Linked DNA regions of Saccharomyces cerevisiae S288C. The protein of the gene in region 1 purifies or fractionates together with the protein of each later gene. This does not show direct contact. Each region holds a gene or a part of one and is shown in the gene's direction. Other genes may lie near its edges.

Evidence for each region. The genes of interacting proteins can lie anywhere in the genome.
Region 2: the proteins of RRG8 (region 1) and PET130 purify together in Saccharomyces cerevisiae (affinity purification with mass spectrometry, with the first as the bait; 2 studies listed by BioGRID). This does not show direct contact.

Annotation. Positions count from the first base shown.
Region 1 is NC_001148.4:755,674-762,949, forward strand, and holds RRG8 (Rrg8p), read left to right. Parts: upstream 1-2,974; coding exon 2,975-3,808; downstream 3,809-7,276. Other genes in the region: RGC1 (Rgc1p), read left to right, coding at 1-2,455; HOB2 (Hob2p), read left to right, coding at 4,352-7,276. UniProt on the Saccharomyces cerevisiae protein: Required for respiratory activity and maintenance and expression of the mitochondrial genome.
Region 2 is NC_001142.9:395,821-399,933, reverse strand, and holds PET130 (Pet130p), read left to right. Parts: upstream 1-1,535; coding exon 1,536-2,579; downstream 2,580-4,113. Other genes in the region: BBC1 (Bbc1p), read left to right, coding at 1-997; APS3 (Aps3p), read left to right, coding at 3,342-3,363, 3,441-4,003.

The DNA of each region.
Region 1 (7,276 bases):
GAAATTTGGGTCAGGATCCATTCAAGATATTCAAGTGATTTTGAAGAAGTACCATTTATCTTTGGGTAGTCAACAATATAAGATCTCTAAGGAAATCTTGGCATATATTATACCCAAATTGACCGACTTGCGTAAGGATTTGACCACAAAGATGAAAGAAATTAAAGAATTAAATGGAGATTTCAAGACTAACATAGGCGAGCATATCAAAATAACAAGCAGGCTTCTGAATAAATATATTGCTTCAGTGAAGTTATTAGATGAAGCATCCACTTCGGGCGATAAGCAAGGTGAAAAATTAAAACCAAAACACGATCCATACCTTTTGAAATTACAACTAGATTTGCAGCTGAAAAGACAATTACTCGAAGAAAACTATCTTCGAGAAGCTTTTCTGAATTTACAATCAGCAGCACTACAACTGGAGAAAATAGTATATTCTAAAATTCAATCCGCATTACAGCGCTACTCAGCGTTAATTGATTCAGAAGCACGATTAATGATCAAAAATTTGTGCCATGAATTGCAGCAAGGTATTCTATCTAGACCACCGGCTGTAGAGTGGGATAATTTTGTCTCTCATCATCCTACCTGTCTGATGAATTTAAAATCGACAGACCCGCCACCGCAACCCAGAAGATTATCTGATATTGTTTATCCTAACATGAAATCGCCGCTGGCCAAATGCATTAGAGTAGGATATCTACTGAAGAAAACAGAGTCTTCTAAAAGTTTTACTAAAGGTTATTTTGTGTTGACTACAAATTATCTTCACGAATTCAAAAGCAGCGATTTCTTTCTAGACAGCAAGTCTCCCCGTTCAAAAAATAAACCTGTTGTTGAACAATCAGACATTAGCCGTGTGAATAAGGATGGGACTAACGCTGGCAGTCACCCATCGAGCAAAGGGACACAGGATCCGAAACTGACGAAGAGAAGAAAGGGTTTGAGTTCTTCGAATCTATATCCTATCTCTAGTTTGTCTTTAAATGATTGCTCATTAAAGGATAGTACTGACTCAACTTTTGTTTTACAAGGGTATGCTAGTTATCATTCACCAGAGGACACATGTACAAAAGAATCAAGCACGACCTCAGATTTGGCATGTCCAACAAAGACGCTTGCTTCAAATAAGGGCAAACATCAACGTACGCCTTCAGCTCTCTCGATGGTGTCCGTTCCGAAATTTCTAAAGAGTTCTTCCGTGCCCAAGGAACAAAAAAAGGCTAAAGAAGAAGCTAACATCAATAAGAAGTCAATTTGCGAGAAGCGCGTTGAATGGACGTTTAAAATATTTTCCGCAAGTCTTGAACCAACTCCAGAGGAATCAAAAAATTTCAAGAAATGGGTTCAGGACATAAAAGCGCTTACAAGTTTCAATTCTACTCAGGAGAGGTCGAACTTCATTGAAGAAAAGATTCTGAAAAGTAGAAACCATAATAATGGAAAGAGCTCTCAAAGGTCCAAAAACAGTACATATATCACTCCAGTAGACAGTTTTGTTAACCTTTCTGAAAAAGTAACGCCATCTTCCTCTGTTACCACGTTAAACACTAGGAAGAGGGCAAATCGTCCTCGTTATATAGACATCCCAAAAAGCGCAAATATGAATGCAGGCGCTATGAATTCCGTATACAGGTCAAAAGTCAATACACCAGCCATTGATGAAAATGGTAATCTGGCCATAGTGGGAGAAACGAAAAACAGTGCTCCACAAAATGGTATGAGTTACACAATTAGAACCCCTTGCAAATCGCCTTATTCACCTTATACTGGGGAAGGTATGCTTTACAACCGGTCAGCAGATAACTTAATGGCATCCTCTTCGCGAAAAGCATCGGCTCCCGGAGAGGTACCTCAAATAGCTGTTAGTAATCATGGGGATGAAGCCATTATTCCGGCAAGCGCGTATTCAGATAGTAGTCATAAATCGTCTCGTGCCTCCAGTGTTGCATCCATTCACAACCAACGGGTTGATTTTTATCCTTCGCCATTAATGAACTTACCAGGTGTTTCACCCAGTTGTCTAGCATTGGATGGTAATGCAAACGGATATTTTGGAATACCATTGAATTGCAATTCGGAAGCAAGACGAGGGTCAGATCTTTCACCTTTTGAGATGGAGTCTCCATTGTTCGAGGAAAACAGAACTCAAAACTGCAGTGGCTCTCGCAAAAGTTCAGCTTGTCATATTCCCCATCAATGTGGTCCAAGGAAAGAAGGTAATGACTCACGATTGATCTACGGCAATGAGAAGGGCGCCTCACAATCACGTCTAACGTTGAAGGAACCGCTTACATCTAAAGGTGTTGAAGCTCCTTATAGCAGTTTGAAAAAGACATATAGTGCGGAAAACGTCCCACTAACATCTACTGTATCGAATGATAAGTCTCTTCACTCGCGCAAGGAGGGAAGTACTAATACTGTACCTGCTACATCCGCGTCAAGTAAGTGACACTATGAAAACCTGTCCAATAAGACTGCACAGATGAAGAGCATGTCATTTGGTTCCTTGATAAGTGTAATAAGCAACAAGAAAGTCCTGGGTCATGTTCCTGCTGAAAATACAAACCCATTAACTACCGGAAACGAAGAAGATTAAGACAAAATGGAAAAGTTAAGTTAAACGCAATCAGTTCATATATTCTTAGATAGTTATCATGTTTTTATAAGTAAACAAAGTAGTCTTCTACCAAATAAAAATAGATTCCTGATTGGGTATTTTTCAGAAGTATCATCTGAACTTGATGTTATTTTAAAATGAAAGCCAGCGTCCATAATTATCTTTTTCTTACTTGTTTTTTACAGTGGCGGTAGGATTGGCAATGCCTGTTCATCTCCAGTTTTCCGGTCCGCTTACGACATCGGCCTTTCTATAAGACAGGTTGGCAATGCGCCACGGTACATGATGACGATAGGAGCCTTCGAATAATATTTTGTTGTGAATTCTCCTGGGAACCTCTCAAAATCAAATATGGGTTTACCTAAATCGGCATATAAGAAGTTACTCATAGATTGTCCAACGAGAGTCATTAATAAAAACTGTGCCCAACGAGTCAAAGATGTTTCTCCGCTCATTACAAACTTCGAGAAATGGTCGGATAAGCGCAAGAAGCTCTATTTCAAAGATGAAGAGGAAATGGTGGGGCAGTTCCATTTGGAAAATTTCAATTTAAAAAATAACTTATATGGTAGGCTTTTAGCTTCTCCAATGAGAGCAGAAAAAATCTCAAAATTAAAATCGTGTAGAGAATTACTAATTCCATTGAAAGTGGTACCATCAACTGGCAAAGATCAGCATGCTGATAAAGATAAACTAAAACTGGTACCTACACTAGATTATTCCAAATCATACAAAAGCTCGTACGTATTGAATTCAGCCTCCATTGTACAAGACAACTTGGCGGCTGCGACGTCATGGTTCCCAATCTCGGTATTGCAAACATCAACTCCAAAGAGCCTAGAAGTTGATTCCTCTACATTTATAACGGAATACAATGCTAACTTGCACGCATTTATAAAAGCAAGACTTTCAGTGATACCGAATGTTGGACCTTCTTCGATAAATCGTGTTTTACTCATTTGTGACAAGAGAAAAACACCCCCGATTGAAATACAAGTAGTTAGTCATGGTAAAGGGCTACCAATTACACAGTCTGTCTTTAACCTTGGTTATCTCCACGAGCCAACTCTAGAAGCTATCGTGAGTAAAGATGCAGTTACTAATGGAATTTACCTGGATGCCGACAATGACAAGGATCTCATCAAACACCTTTATAGTACATTATTGTTTCATTCAGTTAACTGATTGCGGAAGAAAAAAGGAAGGAAAGCGGGATATATCGCTGGAATTGTCTCTCTGAATTTGCCATTATTCTTATTCAATGAATACAAAACTGGCTGTCAGCGAATGGCATCATTTTGCAATCCGAAAATGAAAAATTTGGGCGCCTCGGGCAGGAGAATTCAGAACCCTTAATCCCGCACATCTACGTAAAATATCTCTGAGGTGTTCTATAGTCCATCACTTACCATCCATCTGCAAGGCTGTATGATTGATAAAGAGGAACATTAAGGGTAAATAGATTTGTTGATTTGTTTGCACTAGTGGCTTTGTATTAAAAACTTCAAGGGCATACACATGCATTATATTCAAGAGCACAACCAATAATTTACCATTATAGAAGGTACTTCTTTGAAAACTAAATCATACACTTTTTCCCACGAAAAGGCTTACATTTAAAAGCTAAGCATTCAATTTAGTTTTGCTGATCAATTTCTCGAGTAGGCTTGTCATCCATAATATCTAGTAGCTGGAGTATCCTGTTTATTGCAAGAAAAAAAATCTACAATGTCTATGTTACCGTGGTCTCAAATAAGGGATGTGTCTAAACTATTATTAGGCTTTATGCTTTTTATTATATCAATTCAGAAAATCGCTAGTATTCTCATGTCATGGATATTGATGCTGCGCCATTCCACAATACGAAAAATTTCATTTGGATACTTTTTTGGTACGTCAATAAGACGAGCGTTTATCTTAACTGATTTTGCTCAAATATATATTGGCAAGATAACCTTGCGAATAGGTTGGAAACCCGGAATTGTGTTTCATAATGTTGATTTGAAGTTATTTGGGAAGGACAGCCATATCACTGCACATTCAACTAAAGACTCCAGAACATATTTCAATCCGCGGGATCAAACTTTTACCTTTGTAATTAACAGGCGAGTCCTATCAATTTTGAAACTTGTGTTCTCATTTTCCACTTTCTTTCATACTTTAGCTCTTACAGTGCCTAATGGAAAACAATATAAATTAAATATCGGATCCATAACGATATCACACCCACACGATGATACCATAAAGTTAGAGGCATTTTTGCATGATTTTACCCATCCTGAAACGAAAGATACTTTGAACCATACTGGTTTTTTTATGGTCTGTAAAATTGGAAAGGAAGATGATACAGGCAGCAACTGCACAAAAGTTATACTAAAAAATTGGAAATCAAGTCTCAAAATAAGTGATGTTTGTTGGCATCTTCCAGAGAAGAAAGGGAAGAATTTGCATTCGGAGCCTGTTGAGCCTTTTTCTGCTGGTGATGATGCGGAAATGCTCACTTCATATCGTAAGATGCTAAAGCCTTTTCACTACCCACTGAAAACTTTGAACATTCTGGACCTTAAGGTAGAAAATGTAAAGTTGATTTACAAAAAAAAGTTTACAATTCGCATATCAAGTGCTCAACTTTACTTGGAATCAATCTCCATTCTAAATAATGTCTCCGCTTTGGAACTTTTACCCTTAAATAAGCCCACATGGGGCGATTTTGAACTATCACTTTCTGCAAATGCTGTTGTAGTAGATATCGATGGTAATACAGCAGTTAGAATTCCATTTGGAAATGTCATACTGACGTCAGATATTTTACTATTTTTACTTGACAATGTACCTTTACGGAGAACGAAGGTATCTTCCATTTTGAACATTATAAATCCTTCAGTATTCCTCACTATACATCAAGTACTGGAAGTTCTTCATTTAGTGGACAAATTCGATAGCCCTGAGACCTCATCATGTACTAACACAAACGACAGATCATTAAATATTTTAGATTTAGATATTGATCGATTGCCCAGTTTTAACTTTGAACTACTAATGTCGAATTTTATTTCAAGGCTGCATATATCAGATGAGGAGAATGTGACGTTTAAGGTCTTCAGCACACATGCTCTCTTTAGCCGTAACAACTTGTCTATGACTCCTAAAAAGGGACAAGTAATGCAAATACGTCCGGATTGGCCATTTGCGAAGACAGCCCTAGTATCTGATCAATTATCTAACTATATTAAAATTGTGGGTACATCACTCTCTTACCTGAGAATTCCAACAGAGCAGGACGCTAACCCAGTGTCTATACCAGTCTGTGGCTTTGAAAGATTAGACACATTTCTGGATGAATTTTCAAATTCTAAATTGATCGTTCAGTCTACACTAAGACATTCGTACGTTAGTCTTGAGAACATTGAAGTTTTGCATACTTTAAGTCGCGCCTTTGACAAAATTTACTTGCTAATATCTAGCAGAACAAAAAGGAATGCGGCTCATAAAGCGAATGGTGGAAAATTGGGGGACCTAAATGAAGCCAAGAAAACATTTAACTGGTCATTGAAACTTAGAATGAAGGATATTTCATGTTCGTTACTGGTCGCTGGGTTTCTTCCGAAAAATTTGGATCCTGTGGAAGCTGAGAATTTTAACTTATCTGACGTAACTAGAGGCGCCAAAGTTGTTTTTACAGAATCAATATTGTTAGCGGACAGCCAGGAGAAAAACTTCACTATTATTGATGCATCCGTATATCGTTTCATGGATGGCACTACGTATAAGCCCTCTCCTGAGGTTATTATTCAATTTACCAATTTGTTATTGAGTTTTAACGACTCAGATGAAATTCATTTTTCACTTCCCAAGATTAAATTTAAGATGGATGTAAATATTATCTGGTTGTGGTTTTATATTCGGAGTATATGGATAAAATTTCGTCCTAATTCAAAATTGAGCCGAAATTCAGTGAGCAGTGTAAAATCTGTCAATGTTCTCGATAGATTAAGAGTAGATATAGGAAAGATGATTATAGAGCTAACGCTTCCTCATAATACAGAGGTACTCCTAATATTCGAGAGGATTGGACTTTCAAGTTCCACTAAAAATCTTACAATTGCATCTTTGTCAGCGTACGTGGTATCGGTTTATGTGAAGCATATTAAGGTTTATGTTTCCTTGCTAAATATTAATGACTTTGAGCTAGACACTGAAGAGTTGATCTGCAAGAAATCCGCTGTTATAAACACCTCATTGATTCATTTTCATGCCGAATATCATTTTAGATTTTACATGATAACGGATAACATAGTCACGTTGTATAAATCGTTTAAGCAAATTAAATTGGCATTTTCCAATTTGAATGAATTTAAGCGATTATACCCTCAGCAACAGTTTCCGAAAAAAGTTCCAAATTTACATATTTGTTGCCAGGATTTTCTAATTGATATTGAAGAAGATCCTTTTGAGCAGGAGTTAGGATTAATTTTGAAAGTTGGTGTTTTGGAACAACGTGAGAGGTTAAAGAAGCTTGAAGAGTTCAAGGAAAAGCTATCAACATATGAGGACATGAATGTACGTTTAAGGTCGCTCTATGATACCTCCCGTGGACAAAGTTTTTTCCCAGAGTTTTATGCGAATGATCAAGAATATGAGCAAAAGGCCTAT
Region 2 (4,113 bases), on another chromosome or scaffold:
TTCTCCTCCACCACATCAAAATGTCACGGCCTCTACACCTTCAATGATGAGTACGCAACAACGTGTGCCAACCTCAGTACTATCTGGGGCAGAAAAAGAATCACGAACCCTACCGCCCCATGTGCCTTCATTGACGAATCGTCCTGTGGATTCATTCCATGAGTCAGATACTACACCGAAGGTGGCCTCTATAAGAAGGTCAACGACGCATGATGTAGGCGAGATTTCCAACAACGTCAAGATAGAGTTTAATGCACAAGAAAGATGGTGGATTAATAAAAGCGCACCTCCTGCTATAAGCAATCTGAAGTTGAACTTTTTGATGGAGATCGATGATCATTTCATTTCCAAAAGATTACATCAAAAATGGGTGGTAAGGGATTTTTACTTCTTGTTTGAAAACTATTCGCAACTAAGATTCTCCTTGACCTTTAATAGTACAAGCCCAGAGAAAACGGTAACGACTCTTCAAGAACGCTTTCCATCGCCAGTCGAAACACAATCAGCACGTATTCTTGATGAATACGCTCAAAGGTTTAATGCGAAAGTTGTAGAGAAATCTCATTCATTGATAAATTCACATATTGGGGCTAAGAATTTCGTGTCACAAATTGTATCCGAATTCAAAGACGAAGTTATACAACCCATAGGAGCAAGAACGTTTGGCGCAACTATATTGAGTTATAAACCTGAAGAAGGAATCGAACAGTTGATGAAGAGCTTACAGAAGATTAAACCAGGTGACATTCTTGTAATTAGAAAGGCCAAATTTGAAGCTCATAAAAAGATCGGAAAAAACGAAATTATCAACGTTGGAATGGACTCCGCCGCTCCGTATTCGAGTGTTGTTACTGATTATGATTTTACAAAGAATAAGTTTAGAGTTATCGAAAATCACGAGGGAAAGATTATTCAAAACAGCTACAAGCTAAGCCATATGAAAAGTGGGAAGTTAAAGGTTTTCAGAATTGTTGCGAGAGGATACGTAGGTTGGTAATTTACCCAATGCTTCCAAGGGGAAATTGTGAATGCTTTCGATTTCATCATTTTCCTTTCGCATTTTCTTATCGTTATAGTTTAAGTGTATATTTTCATAACTCTTCTACAGAAGAAACTATACAAAGATTAAACAACCGTTTTTGTATCAGGTCTTATTTGAGCGGCTCAAAACGAAAGGTAGGATTCACTTATCTTACCGCCGTCAATAGTATCCCAAGTTGTACCTTTTCGTATATACCTACAATTCTGGCTTCAGACGCAGTAATTTTTGAGCAATCGTAACAAACGGTTTGCCCCTAGAGTTTGAATTTTTCTTCATCACTCCATGATAGTGCTCTCATATATTATCTTACGGAAATTAATCCAATATAGGTGCCCAAAGGTTGAAATTAATACGAACTTTGACCTGGCCTTAATTATCGATTCTAATACTATCTGAGTTTAAAGAACTTGCGGGGAAGAAATACGGAAAACATAGAAAGGCGATGGCAGATGAAGAAAGAAAAGATTAAGAAGGTTAATAGAAAAACCAAATCATGAAGATATTCTCCACACTCTTATCGCAAAAACCTAAAGGCAAACTGGTAATTCGACCATCAACCACTATACATAGTAGTGATCCCTTTTCAAAATTTATAGTGACGAAGAATACCGAGCCTCTTTCTCTTGGTGACCTTCGAAAAAGCGATTCAGGAAATTCAGCTGTGTGCTTAAATGCTGAAAATACTATATTAAGTACGCTAACTGATTTACAAAAAGAAGAAGAAAGAAACTGGGATCCAGTGAAATTTGTTGCTGGTAAACTTCGAGGTGTAATTTCACCCATCCAAGCCTATGTGACGATTGGAAAAAAATTTTCCCCTAACTCATTGGTATACACTAGTAGATTCTTTCAACTTCATTACTTCCCTGAAGACCATTTTATGTCTTGTTTTAGAAAAAGTAAACCAGCAATAACGGTAAAATCCAATAAGAAGTTTTATTTAAATGGGAAGGTTTTCAACAAGGACAAAGAATATTTCAATGAAACTAGGATATCAAAAGCTAATGAAGTCGAACTAAGCAAAATTCAAACAGCGATGACACGGCTTACAAATAGACATAGAAACAGTATTCCCTCTGAATTTGCGTACTTGAGACGAGATTTAAAATTAAAGGTGAAAACAACGTTTATCAAGGAGTGGTGTAAACTAAATGGTGATAAGGCCATTCGAGAGTACGTTAATCTTAACAGATCTCCAAATATTAATCCTGCTAGCATGAAGGGCAAGCCAAAGAAAAGTTTTTTAGATAACCTTGGTAGAAGTACTGTGGGAACCGCAAAGGACGGCTATTATTTATACATTGTTAGCATATTTCCTGATAAAGATATGTTAGGAGAATTTAATGACGAGGTCAATAGAAGCGTTCAAAAGGTTGCCAATTTGGATTGGGATGGGTTCTTGACCCCAAAAAAAGGCACGAAAGGCAAAAATTGGGTAGAATCGTTCAATGACAGTATAAACGTTCAAACAATTAACAAGATACTCGAGATCAACAAGTTTCCATTTGAATTAAGAAGAGAACAAACAGAAGGCTGAGAAATGGGCCAACCATGCATCTCTCTTGCTGTCCACTATGTATCTACATATACGTTTTAAATATTTATCATCGAATGTGCAAATACAAGAACGTCACTTTCGAGTCTAAGTGGTTGTCACTCATGTTTCGTGATAAAAGAAATATTTACAACCCGGGATTTTGAACCGTTGCATGGTCATACTCGAGGAGTATTAGAATCAAGCCATTATGATCTGCTATATATCTTAATGGTAAGATCACAATATAAATGGATAGCAATAACTTTTGAGTATGAGGAGTTCCACTTTCATAAATGTTATAGATATGGAAAGCTTACGCTGATGTAAGTAATGAGTAATCACAAAACGAGGTAAGAAAGGCCAAGCGAAAATAAAGTCATATATTTTAGGCAAAAAAAAAAAGTCTCAAGTAATTCTCTATAAGGCAATAAAAAAATAGTTCTCATTCAGTCTTTTTTCTTTCTTTTTGAATACGATGGCTCGATTAAGGTTCTTCATTTCAAAAAATATCTTGCTTATTAATATTGAGTATGAATGAAAGATTCATATCAAAAGTAAGCGCAAGTGGTTTAGTGGTAAAATCCAACGTTGCCATCGTTGGGCCCCCGGTTCGATTCCGGGCTTGCGCATTTCTTTTTTATATTTCTTCTCTTACGTTGTAGGAGTATATTTTTTTTAAATAGTCCACTGGAACAATATCATTTCTGTTGTAACTATACCAGATCTGGGTTACAGAGGCCAGAACACATATAACGTTACACAATGATTCATGCAGTTCTAATATGTATGTAAGATTTCTCAAGGGTCTTTTCTTCTGCCAAAATTATACATTACTAACATAATTCATCATTTTTGGTATAGTCAATAAGAAATGCCAACCAAGATTAGTGAAATTCTACACGCCGGTCGACCTTCCAAAGCAAAAACTGCTATTAGAGCAAGTATATGAATTGATTTCTCAAAGGAATAGCGATTTTCAAAGTTCTTTTTTAGTCACGCCACCATCGCTTCTGTTAAGCAATGAAAATAATAATGATGAGGTAAACAATGAAGATATTCAAATCATCTATAAAAACTACGCTACACTATATTTCACTTTCATCGTGGATGATCAAGAATCAGAACTGGCCATATTAGATCTGATCCAAACTTTTGTGGAATCATTGGACCGTTGTTTTACTGAAGTCAATGAACTTGATTTGATTTTTAACTGGCAAACTTTGGAAAGTGTATTAGAAGAAATCGTGCAGGGGGGCATGGTCATTGAAACAAATGTGAACAGAATAGTTGCTTCTGTTGACGAACTCAACAAAGCTGCCGAGTCCACAGATAGTAAAATTGGAAGACTAACGTCCACTGGATTTGGAAGCGCACTACAAGCGTTTGCTCAAGGCGGATTTGCACAATGGGCAACGGGGCAATAAACAAACAAATTAATCGGATGATGGTTATTTTCGTTCGTCAAGATCTGCACGTAAAACCGGCTTGAAGAAAATTAGCTGAGCCGGGCATTTCCCAGCTTTTTTAATATATA